3 linked regions of the Astyanax mexicanus genome follow. The protein of the gene in region 2 binds, or shares a complex with, the protein of the main gene of each other region. Links are inferred from orthologs where the notes say so. Each region holds a gene or a part of one and is shown on either strand. Other genes may lie near its edges.

Evidence for each region.
Region 1: the proteins of ccna2 (region 2) and rb1 are in contact, whole or in part, in a crystal structure (PDB 1H25), measured with the Homo sapiens proteins. The link is inferred for Astyanax mexicanus from reciprocal best matches to the Homo sapiens genes CCNA2 and RB1. Residues at the interface, in NP_001228.2 of Homo sapiens: Met210, Ile213, Leu214, Trp217, Glu220, Glu224, Arg250, Leu253, Gln254, Tyr280, Ile281, Thr282, Asp283, Thr285; in NP_000312.2 of Homo sapiens: Pro869, Lys870, Pro871, Leu872, Lys873, Lys874, Leu875, Phe877, Asp878.
Region 3: the proteins of ccna2 (region 2) and rbl1 are in contact, whole or in part, in a crystal structure (PDB 1H28), measured with the Homo sapiens proteins. The link is inferred for Astyanax mexicanus from reciprocal best matches to the Homo sapiens genes CCNA2 and RBL1. Residues at the interface, in NP_001228.2 of Homo sapiens: Met210, Ile213, Leu214, Asp216, Trp217, Glu220, Glu224, Arg250, Gly251, Lys252, Leu253, Gln254, Tyr280, Ile281, Thr282, Asp283, Thr285, Tyr286; in NP_002886.2 of Homo sapiens: Gly654, Ser655, Ala656, Lys657, Arg658, Arg659, Leu660, Phe661, Gly662, Glu663.

The regions. Positions count from the first base shown.
Region 1 is NC_064424.1:7,183,605-7,187,360, forward strand, and holds the start of rb1 (retinoblastoma-associated protein), read right to left. Parts: upstream 2,485-3,756; 5' UTR 2,264-2,484; coding exon 2,166-2,263; intron 1-2,165. UniProt on the Homo sapiens protein: Tumor suppressor that is a key regulator of the G1/S transition of the cell cycle. The hypophosphorylated form binds transcription regulators of the E2F family, preventing transcription of E2F-responsive genes.
Region 2 is NC_064417.1:25,275,438-25,279,193, forward strand, and holds the start of ccna2 (cyclin-A2), read right to left. Parts: upstream 2,297-3,756; 5' UTR 2,048-2,296; intron 1,904-2,047; 5' UTR 1,875-1,903; coding exon 1,680-1,874; intron 441-1,679; coding exon 206-440; intron 120-205; coding exon 13-119; intron 1-12. Other genes in the region: bbs7 (Bardet-Biedl syndrome 7 protein), read right to left, coding at 3,657-3,756. UniProt on the Homo sapiens protein: Cyclin which controls both the G1/S and the G2/M transition phases of the cell cycle. Functions through the formation of specific serine/threonine protein kinase holoenzyme complexes with the cyclin-dependent protein kinases CDK1 or CDK2.
Region 3 is NC_064412.1:57,366,018-57,369,773, reverse strand, and holds the start of rbl1 (retinoblastoma-like protein 1), read right to left. Parts: upstream 2,912-3,756; 5' UTR 2,794-2,911; coding exon 2,632-2,793; intron 1,594-2,631; coding exon 1,460-1,593; intron 439-1,459; coding exon 238-438; intron 1-237. UniProt on the Homo sapiens protein: Key regulator of entry into cell division. Directly involved in heterochromatin formation by maintaining overall chromatin structure and, in particular, that of constitutive heterochromatin by stabilizing histone methylation.

The sequences.
Region 1 (3,756 bases), on a different chromosome or scaffold from region 2:
GTCCCTGAAGCTAAAAAAAAAAAAAAAAAAAAAAATACCACAAAAGCATGATGCTGCCACCACCATGTTTCACTGTTGGGATGGTATTGGGCAGGTAATGAGCAGTGCATGTTCAATCCTTATCTCAACAGACCAGAGAATCTTATTTCTTATAGCCTGGGAGTCCTTTATGTGTTTTTGGTAAACTCTATGTGGGCTTTTATATGTCTTGCACTGGCTGTCTGTCTATCTTAATGAATGTCTCTTGTCTGTCTAGCTATCTGAATAGCAGTATTAAGACTATTTGAGTTAAATCAGTAAAACAGTCTGTCTGTGTACCTGTCTATATCTATATATTAGAAAGGCAGCAGTGAGACTGTTTCAAGTTACATCAGCAAAACAGTGTCTGTCTATCGAAATGCCTATTGAGACTGTTCGTGTTACATCAGTAACAGTGTGTCTGTCTGTCTGTCTGTCTGTCTGTCTGGCATCAGACTGTTTGAGTTAAGTTAAATTAGTAAAACAGTCTGTATCTCTATATATTAAACAGGCAGCATTTAGATTATTTTAGTTAAATCAGCAAAACACTCCGTCTGTCTGTCTTTCTATCTATCTATATGTTATCGCTGTGACTGTTCGAGTTAATCAGTAAAACAGTCTCCCACTATCTATATATTAGATTATAATGGTAGAATTAAGATTGTATGAGTTAAATCAGTAAAAAAAAGTATATGTACCTGTCTGTCTATCTTTATGTATATATTAGAATAGCAGCATTAAAATAGTTTGAGTTAAATCAGTGCAACAGTCTGTCTGTCTGTCTGATTATCTATCTGAATGGCAGCACTATTAGACTATTAGAGTTAAATCACTGCAACAGTGTATTTGTCCCACAATCTATTTGTCTGTGTGTCTTTCTGATTATATATCTATCTGAATGGCATCGCTATAATTGCTCAAGTTAAATCAGTAAAACAGTCCGTCTAATCTATCTGAATGTCTTTTTATCAGTCTATATCGATCTTTTTCTATGTGAATGGAATCACAGACACTGAGTTAAATGAGTAACACAGCCTGTCTATCTATTTGTCTATCTGTCTATATATACATATATATAATGGCAACATTGAGACTGTTTGAGTTAAATCAGTGTAACAGTGTCTGTCTGATTATCTATCTGAATGGCAGCATTGGGACTATTAGAATTAAATAAGTGATACAGTCAACCTGTCTAAAAAATCTGTCTTTCTGACTATCTATCTATATGACAGCATTAAGACTGATCCTACTAAATCAGTAAAACAGTCTGTCTGACTGAATAACAGCATTAAGGATATTTGAGTTAAATCAGTAAAACTGTCTGACTGAATAATAATATTAAGGATATTGGACTTAAATCAGTAATATTGTCTGACCGAATAACAACATTAAGGATATTGGAGTTAAATCAGTAAAACTGTCTGACTGAGTAACAACATTAAGGATATTTGAATTAAATCAGTAAAACTGTCTGACTGAGTAACAACATTAAAAATATTTGAGTTAAATCATTAAAACAGTGACTGAATAACAACATTAAGGATATTTGAGTTAAATCAGTAAAACTGTTTGACTGAATAACATCATTAAGGATATTTGAGTTAAATCAGTAAAACTGTCTGACTGAATAACAGCATTAAGGATATTTGAGTTAAATCAGTAAAACTGTTTGAATAACAGCGTTAATGATATTTGAGTTAAAGCAGTAAAACTGTTTGACTGAATAACAGCATTAAGGATATTTGAGTTAAATCAGTCTGATTAAATATCTATCTGAATGACAGCATTGAGGATATTCGAGTTAAATCAATGAAATGTGGAGTTAGAGTAAAGTTGATGTATTTAGTGGAGTATATCAGGATGTTATTGAAGGGAAGAAGGGGTTGTGTTGGGAAAATACGTGAGAATAACTTGTTGTGACGAGACTGTTGACAAAACAAAAGTTAGCTAGCAGGCTAACTAGCTCAGTTAGCTAACTCTGTAGCTAGTTAACTTGTGTAACTTACTGTAGGTTAGCTAGCAGACCGAGCTAACTCATAAACTATCTAACTACCCAAACTAATGATTAAACACAAGATATAAACAGAAGAGCGGACAGAGCGGCCGCGGAGAAACACGGAGCCGGATCAGCAGCGCGGGGTTCTTACTGTTGCGGGCTGATGGCGGAGCCGGACTGCCGGAGCTCCGGGGAAGAGGCGCCCCTCCGGCTGCTCCCGGTCCCGGAGCTGCGCTTTCTGGGCGGCATGGCTGATTAAATCCTTCGCGGGTCTTCAGACAGAGCGGGTTAGAGTGAATGGAGGTGTGGATCAGCTGTATGAGAGCTGGATCTTACTGATAACTGAATATACAGGTAATAAAAAACTGCAGGCAGGGAGTAAACCGGGTGAACAGGGGCCTCCCCGAAACCGCCTCCACTATCCAGCGCTGATCCCACAGCCTCAAACCGCGGGAAAACTCCGCAGCTCAACTTCCTGCTACACTCACGTCATTTCCGGAAACAAGAAAGCGTCAGAGACGGATTTTGGTACCTGAAACATTATTTTAAGTAAAATATCATACATACTTACTGCAAATTATAAATATTATATTTATAAATAATATTTATTGAAGAATATTAAAGTAAAATGTCATAAAAAGCCTTACAATTGTTCATATATGCAATATCACCACTTGTTTTCTATTTTTTTAATTAATTTTTTTAGCATGACACTTCTGTTTTTCCCCGCGGCACTGCTGTAACTGCTGTACTGTAAATTTCCCCCAACTGTGGGATTAATAAAGACTTATCCTAATTGTTAAATAAAATAATACTAATACTAATGTCTATTAAAATGGTTAATATTATTGGTCACTATGATTGGGAGATCGCTGGTTCAAATCCGTTCATGCAGTTTGCCATCAGCTGCTGGAGTCCTGAGAGAGCACAATTTTGCTTGCTCTCTCTGGGTGGGTGGATAGCACTCTTTTCTCTCATCACTCTAAAGGGTGATGTTGATCAGCACAAGGCATAATTGAGCTGTCGAGTGCACTGTGATGCTACTCCATAAAAAAGAGGCGGAGTCTGACTTCACATGTATCGGAGAAGGCATGTGTTAGTCTTCACCCTCCAGGTGTTGGGTCATCACTAGTGTTAGGGGGAGTCCTAATGAGTGGGTTGGGTAATTGGCTGTGTATATTGGGGAGAAATGGGCTTAAAAAATATTATTATTGGTATTTTTTTCTAGAGATGCATCAATGTGGGAGTTCTAGGCCGATATAACACATGTATATGTCTGCTGATGCCGATATACACAATAAACATAACTTACAGCGAGCCTAGACACCCCAGTATACGTATTTCACATGTTTTTAGTGGTTTAAACTGGTCCTTACATAGACTGTTTGCAACTTTAAACCCTGTTTTTCTTCATAACCATTACATCAAAACCATCCTAAACATCCAACATCTCAACCCGAATTTTCCCACACACACAGCGAGATTGGGCAGATTATTCCCTCTCTTTCTCTGTATTTATTTCTACATACAATACAAAATAGCTATAGTTTGTCCTTTTTTTCTCTCCACCCTTTTTATTTTTCCTGTTATTTTTATATTATACACTATGACCACAGAAACTATAATTATCTATAAACACTAACAAAGCTTAATTAGTCCTCCATGGGCGGTGATTAAAATTAACTTGTGCCCGGCGTCTCCAAGTCCTTTTCTGGCGTACAATAAATATGTCGGCAAATATT
Region 2 (3,756 bases):
TGTATAACTTACCTCCATATCCCTTAGATGTGTGTGAATTTCAGCAGCGTAGTCTGTAACTTCATTTACATTTACCAGCCTCTCCTCACCTTCAATTATTGACATATCCATGGGAGAATCTATAACAAAAGAAGAAAGTGTTAGAACATTCAACGCAAAACACTCATACACTTCTATTTGCATACCAAAATCTGCCATGTCGTACCAAAACTGAGATCCATAGGCAGGTCGATAGTAGCAAGGGGCTGCCTTAACCGGGTTACTGTGGGGTTTAGTGTTAACGGGGAACAATCCATGGTGGCTTTTTTGGAAGAAACATGTTTCTTTGAGCAGGCACCATCAGGTTCATCAACATGAATCTGAAAAGCAGGCTGCTTGGAAGAGGGCTTTTCTGCACAACTTTTGCCATGGTCATCTGATCTGCAGGGCTGTACATTAACCTGGTAACACAAGGGAAAATACAAGCAATTAGCCTTTATAGTAAAATATTTTAAATCTACACTAACCCCGTTCAGTGTTTAAAAGCACTGAAATTACCAATTTCAGCCTTCATACACTAACCAATATATCTCCATGTTCTCAAGGCAAATTGTAAGTCAGTGCAGACAAACAAAACTATGAAAAAACAAATTAAGCAACATTGACAATCTTCAATAAAATATCAAATCCTGAGAGCTCCATTGTGCAGGGCTATATTACTGAACTAACTGAGCTGATGTATTTATGAGCTCAAAATAGGTTCAGTCGATAAATGGAAACATTTGTAAATTGCAAATGTCTATGCCTTTACCAAAACTGTCTGGGTATAATCATTTTTCCAAAACTTATCCAGGCCTGGAAAGTGTTTAAATTTCATGACCATACAAACCCTGACAAGCAAGAGTGTTACTTGTATTAGAAAATGTTTCTCTAATACTGGTGGTTAATTTTTGACCAGCTATACAAAAACACTACCAAATTTAGGGCTTAACAGATGCAGGTAACATTTAACAATAAGGATACATTAACTGTGCTTATAAAAGTAGGTCAACTAGTTATTTGACACCAACCTATTCAAAATATCACTACAATTTTTTAACCCCTGTACCAACACATTGGAAACATTCTTGAGAAAATAAGAAATAATTAATGGCTTAACTAGCATAAATTAATACTTTGACATTAAGTAACCATTTAACAAATGTTTTACTGTCGTAAGTGCTGTTTTTGTTAACCTTTATTGTAAAGTATTAGCTGCATGGCAGGGTGCCTAGAAGCACTGAGCAGCTGCAGCATAGCTAGTGTCACTCCTATGGAACCTATTGAGGTGGGGAAAATGGCGGTCTGGGACATGGAGGGAAGCTATTTGGCCATTTAAAACAAAAAACAGGACTAAAACGCATTTAATTACCACGTAATTCAGGTTTAAAGAAGTGTTAAACTTATAAAATGAAGACTTACAACATGAAATGCACTTAACAGATGCACGTAGGCCCATTTAAGCAGGTAGCTAGCTAGCTAACCATGCAGGTTAACCCATCCAGCCAACTAGTGCTGCTAGTTAAAAAATAATATCCAGCCTAGCTTACTAGATCTATAACAAGTGAGTTGACCGAGCAAAAGTAGGAACACAGAGTCTAAAGTCACATTAACAAAGTGTAACTAAAGTTTAGATCACCATTCACAAAACCCCCACAGACCTGTTTGGAGCCTCGCAGGGCGGGCTGTCTCCTCGGGTTGTTCTCCAGCACTCCCAACACGGTTCTGTTGGACGGTTTCGGGTTCACGTTCTCCTGGTTCTCCAGCCTACTCTTTACTGCTGCCGCTCCGCGCAGAGAGAGACGGTTCTCCTGGTTCTGGACGGATCCAGCTTCACTAACTTCGTGTGAGGACATTTCTGCAGCGTGTTAATAGTAAACTCAGGCTATAACGAGAAAAATAACACGATCAGCGAATCTAAAACAGCCCAGAACTATAATTTGTTTAATGTAAGATCCCACAGCGGCGCTCGGTAATCATTAAGCCGTTGTTAGAGACAGTTTAGGCGGATAGAGAGGGGTTGACCTACCGTGTGAGACACGCAGCAGCAGCAGAGTGTAGTTAAAGTTATTCAGCTGCTGATCAGACAAAAAATAAGAGTCATTTAAACTTCAGAACGCAATAAATAAACAACGCTAAACTACAGCTCGGCCTATAATTACACCGACACAAAAAGCGCCATAATCCGGATCAGAACCGCCTAAACTCGCTGTATTGACTCAGGCCGGGTTGTTTCAGTGCTGTCCAACCCGCCGCCGCTCCTGCTCCGGGTTTGTTTCTACCAGTTCAAGTAGCCCGCGACTACTCAAACCGACCAATCAGAGCGCAGCGCAGCGGAGCGTCACTAATCTACGGCAGCCGGGAGGGAGGCAGCGCGCGAGCCGTTGAGAAGTCGATGTAAGAGATTGATTGGCTCAGAGGAGAATTTAAACAGAGAATTGAGGAGAATATGGACAAAAGAGCACAATAGAAGGAACAGCCTGGAGATGGACCTAGTTTAGACCCTCCATAATAGATAAGACTGTTATAATATATTATTTATGTTTATCTGTTCTTTAAAAATAATGAAAAACTAAATAAAAGAAGAATAAAAAGAGAGTATTACAATGCAAAAGTGAAGAAAAAAACACATGAAGGAGAAGGACAAGAAAAAGGGTGGATTTTAGGGTCATTTAGCTATATGCAATAAAAGTAAAAAAAAAATAAAATAAATAAAGGTAGATTTTAATGCCACTTTGTCATTTAAAAATATGTGATAAAAGTACAAATAAAGGTAGATGTTAAGATTTGTATTTATTTATTCATTTATTTATATATAAATTACAGTGTTTATATCACACTGTCACACAAAGCAAATGTTTTTTTCAGGAGATCCTATTCAACATGTGGAAAATAACTTTATAAATATTAGTACAGAGCAAACATAATTAAGAGCAGAAGTCACCCACCAAGACGTTTCCTCTTTATTTTAATACCATTGCTGATCTACTGTTATACTCACCTGTGGAACAAACTTCCAGAGATCTTTCTTACGTCTGCAGAAACTGCTGGCTTATTTAAATCAGGGCTTAGTTAGTTGTAGTTTATGTTAACTTAGAATGTCCTTTAGATTTTTGATGGATTATTTATTAGCCTGTCCTATTCTGAAATGTGTATATCCAAAATGGCCAATGATTTTTTTAGCAATAAAACTTTTGCCCTTTGCAATGTCAAAAACAGAGCCCTTATCTCTATGAAAGGAATTTACTGTGGTTTAGTGAAACAAAATGTAACACTGATATATCACATTTCGTATGTATTTCAGATCTTCTTTAAATTCCAGATTAAACTAATTGTTTTCTGATCAATTGTTTTTCGTTTGTACAATTAACATTCTTGTACAAAAAGGTAAAATACCCTTAACAACACACACAAAACAGATAATGACTTGAAAAATTTATTACATAGAAAAATGACCCCACATAAAGTGAGTACATGAGCAATTTGTCTGAAAAACAGGGTGTCACTAATCTTACATAACACAACACATAACCTAACACAATCTCAGTATGGCATTGATACTTAAGCATCTGTTATACAGCAAATAAATACCACAGAAAAACATTACAATTTCAGTTTGATGACAGACTGATCTATCTTCATCCATCATTAAAAAACTCCATCAGAGAATTCAGGTCATAGTTGTCTAATATTTCAAGAAGTTGGGAAACCTTAGTTTTGACATTTTGTCCTTTAAAT
Region 3 (3,756 bases), on a different chromosome or scaffold from region 2:
GGAACTGTGGTATAATAATACAAAAACAATAATACACTCTAGGTTCGAGTTATAAAGTGTAATATTGGCACTGCTGTACTCATCTACTCTATACTCGGCCTGTGGCCTCGTGCCTACAACCGCAGCACAGCAGTGCCAATATTACACGTTATAGCACGAACCTCGAGAGTATTATAACTTAAATTTAACACAGTTAATGGATGATGAGAACACATGAAGACACGAGTGGAAATTCACCTGTGCTTCCTGCCTCTCGGCACGCGGGGGGGTTCACCCTGAGGATTCTGAAACATGTCCAGAAAGATGGGCTCAAATTTACGGAAAATCACAGTGGACACTTCAAAATTCCTCTCCAGGTGGCTGATTCGGTTCCGGAAGTCCTGCAGGAGGTTCGACATGTCCGCCCATTTCTTCATCTTACTGAAGAACTGAATCAGGCTGGAAGAGAGAAGAAGAGGAAGATCAGAATAATGGAATAGTGGTTTTCTGTATTTTATTGAATTCAGTAGGCTCTGTTTGGTTCTATACACCCTTGTGAACAGTGCTATTTTGCTGGGCCACTACCTCAGTATGGCTGCTCACCACTGATTAAGAAGCTGATTTCACTCATTAAGCTTTTGAACCCCAGCTTATTTTGGTGTGTTTTTTCTCTGTTTTTGTCAGTTCCCATTTTACTCGTTATAACACAGTTATGTGAGGTGAAAGACACATGCTATTACTTTTCTTTATACAGACTTTATGTACAGACTACAAATTAATTTACACAAGTGTTTTATTTTCAATAATAGTTAGATTAGAGTGTATACTAGTGGAAAGAATAAGGATTTTGATGATAGTTCATTACATGGCTTATTACTGCGACAGAATACATGAGCAGCACCAGGCGTATCTAATGAAAGTGATTTAGTACACTGGATATTTACTATTAGCTGCTTATAATAACAGTAACTATTATAATAAAGAGTTCTTCAACAAAATGATCAGATAAATGCTGTTTAATTATAATATACACTATATAGATATATATATATATACAAAATAGAAAAAAACAGTAATTCTCCTCATTCAGATGAGCTTCTGTCGCTGCCCATCCATAACTGAAGCCTGTGAGCACTGACTCTCTCAGAGCGCACCTGAAAGCTGCGTGTGCACTGTGTATTTCACAATAGATTTCTCAAAATCACTTCAGTTCAGCGGGGGGTCAGTTCGATTTTTTTAAACAATAGGGTTTCCTGTTTGTCACAATGTATGATCAGGTTGGTGCGTAGATGCGTTCCTGAGTAATTAAGTTGTATAAACAACAAGCATGATTTTTGCCGCAATTTGCGTCAATTACATTCAAAGGGTTATGGGTGGTGTTGGGATACTTCTGGATACGAAGCTGCACTAAGCTAGGCAAACTAATGTTTTTAATGAGAACGTATGATGACATGAGACAAAGGTGCAAATAACTCTTTACCTGAGTTTGGAGGAGCGCAGTATCCTGGTGAGGGAGACGCAGTTTCCTTCCACCAGTCCTCTCCCCACAGTGGGAATAGAAGCCTTTCTACAGGCAGCGTACAGAGCACAGGCCAGCCAGTGAACCACCTCACCCTGAGAGAGAATACAATCATACACACCATTAAAATCAGACCAGGAGACGCTTCTGTACAGAACATTAAAACACAGGTACTGCATTCTAGTCCAGGACTAGATCTCTAGTTATATACGTACTACAAATAACTATAATATAGCAACCTTGAATACATTACAATTAAGATATTTCCATACATATTGTGCTATCATACTGTGAAGCATTATGACTGTTGTACATAACTGTTCTTCTATTATTATTATTATTATTATTATTATTATTATTATTATTATATTTTCTGCTCTATGTGTGATATTCAAAATATACATTTGGTAATGAGCACAATATGTCCTTCTGTGGTATTTTTTATATTCAGATATACTTATTTATTTATTTTTTTTTTTTCCTTAGTGTAGTGTGTGGTTTGTTTATTCACTGGTCAGTGTTATTTAACCCAGGTACCTGTATCTGTAAAACTGTAAAAGTTTATCAGAGTAGAGATATAGTTAGTTTTCGTAAAGTCTTGCTTTATTCTAATTAATAAATACATACATACATACATACATACATACATACATACACAAATACATACATAATTAAATAAACAAACAAAGCAACAAATTCCGGATGTTTTAAAAGTGATACACAACAAAAGTCCTATAAACAACGGGTTATATGAGTTTTTAATGTTTGGTCAAAGAGGCAAATCATACTCAAGCTTTTAAAAAGTTTTTTTTTAGGGAAATATATTATTATTATTCTTTTGTTTGTCACACAGCTGACTGTATGTTGGAATAGTCCGTTCCACCTTAAGATCCAACACAGACTACTGTAATAATTTAAGGTGGAAGGGATTGCTCTGATCCCAGGTCAGCTGTGGGCTTTAAAACATACACTTTAATAAAGAAGCTTCAGCTGCTCTGCTCTGCCTGTCAGTTACATAAACGCGTAGAAATAACAGTTTAATGAATAAATCACTTGTAAATGAGAGTAAATACTTTATTTATGTGGTTTATTTAAGGGTAACGCTGGTTTATGGGGGTAAAGAGCTGGTCTACCTCCAGGGTGTAGGTGTTCCAGATGGAGGTGAAGTTCTCCAGAGCCTCCTCCGCGGTCTCCTCGTCCATGTTCAGCTCCTGACACAGCGCCTCCAGCCGCTCCCGGATCAGCCCTCCGTCCTCCGGCCCACCGAGCCCGGAATCCGACCCGTTTCCCCGCATTCCTCCCGCTTCTCTCCGCGCTGAAACTCTATAAACCCGGTTTATCAACAAAGAACCGGAGCGCCGCGGTTCCTCCAGCCGCTATCCCACAATGCTCGCGGTCCCGAATGGCGCGAAACCCGCGCGCTCTCAGCCAATGGGAGCGAGGCAAGAACCTGCCTACGTCACGCGGAGCGACAACAACAATAATAAAACATGGCGGCGAGATAACTTACCAACATCTCTGTGAACCTGAACTTTAGAGATATAATATGCGTTTTTTTTCATACATTGACCTATATTAGCAATATATTACTAATATTTTTATTTATTGAGTAAATACTACATTTACCGATGTAAATACTTGACTCCAATACCAAAATATTTTAATCTTTTTACTGGATTTACATTACTATATTGAAATCCTTTAGAATGACCAAAAACAAGACATTTCTAAAAACTTTACTTTTTAAATTTGTGATGAGCTTTCACTGGCCTTTATATTTAGGATTTTCTCCCCCTTTTCTCCTTAATGTAACTATATTTTCATGCTGTTTTCTACTGTGTTTTATGCATTAACTTAAAATCCAACATAATGAAATAGACACAATATTAGACCAAATTAACATTGTATAAAACAAACACAATTCACAAATATAACAAAAAAAAAACTTAAACAGACAAACCTATTGTGAAAAATAGGATTCAAATAATACTGAAAAGCTTCAAGCTATTCAAAGATTAAGGACAATAGTTGTTTTTTTAATTGTAATATAATGTCAAATATTTTTCCATTACTCCTGTGTTCTTGATTTTGTATTATTTATAATGCATATATTGTACTGTTTATTTTATCTATTTTCGGCACTGAGTGCCTTGCTATTGTTGCAAATTCCCCCACTGTGGGTAAAAAAATGATGATCTTATATAATAAATGTATGAAATGAGTGTATCTTTTTAGAAAATTAACATTTTGTGTATATA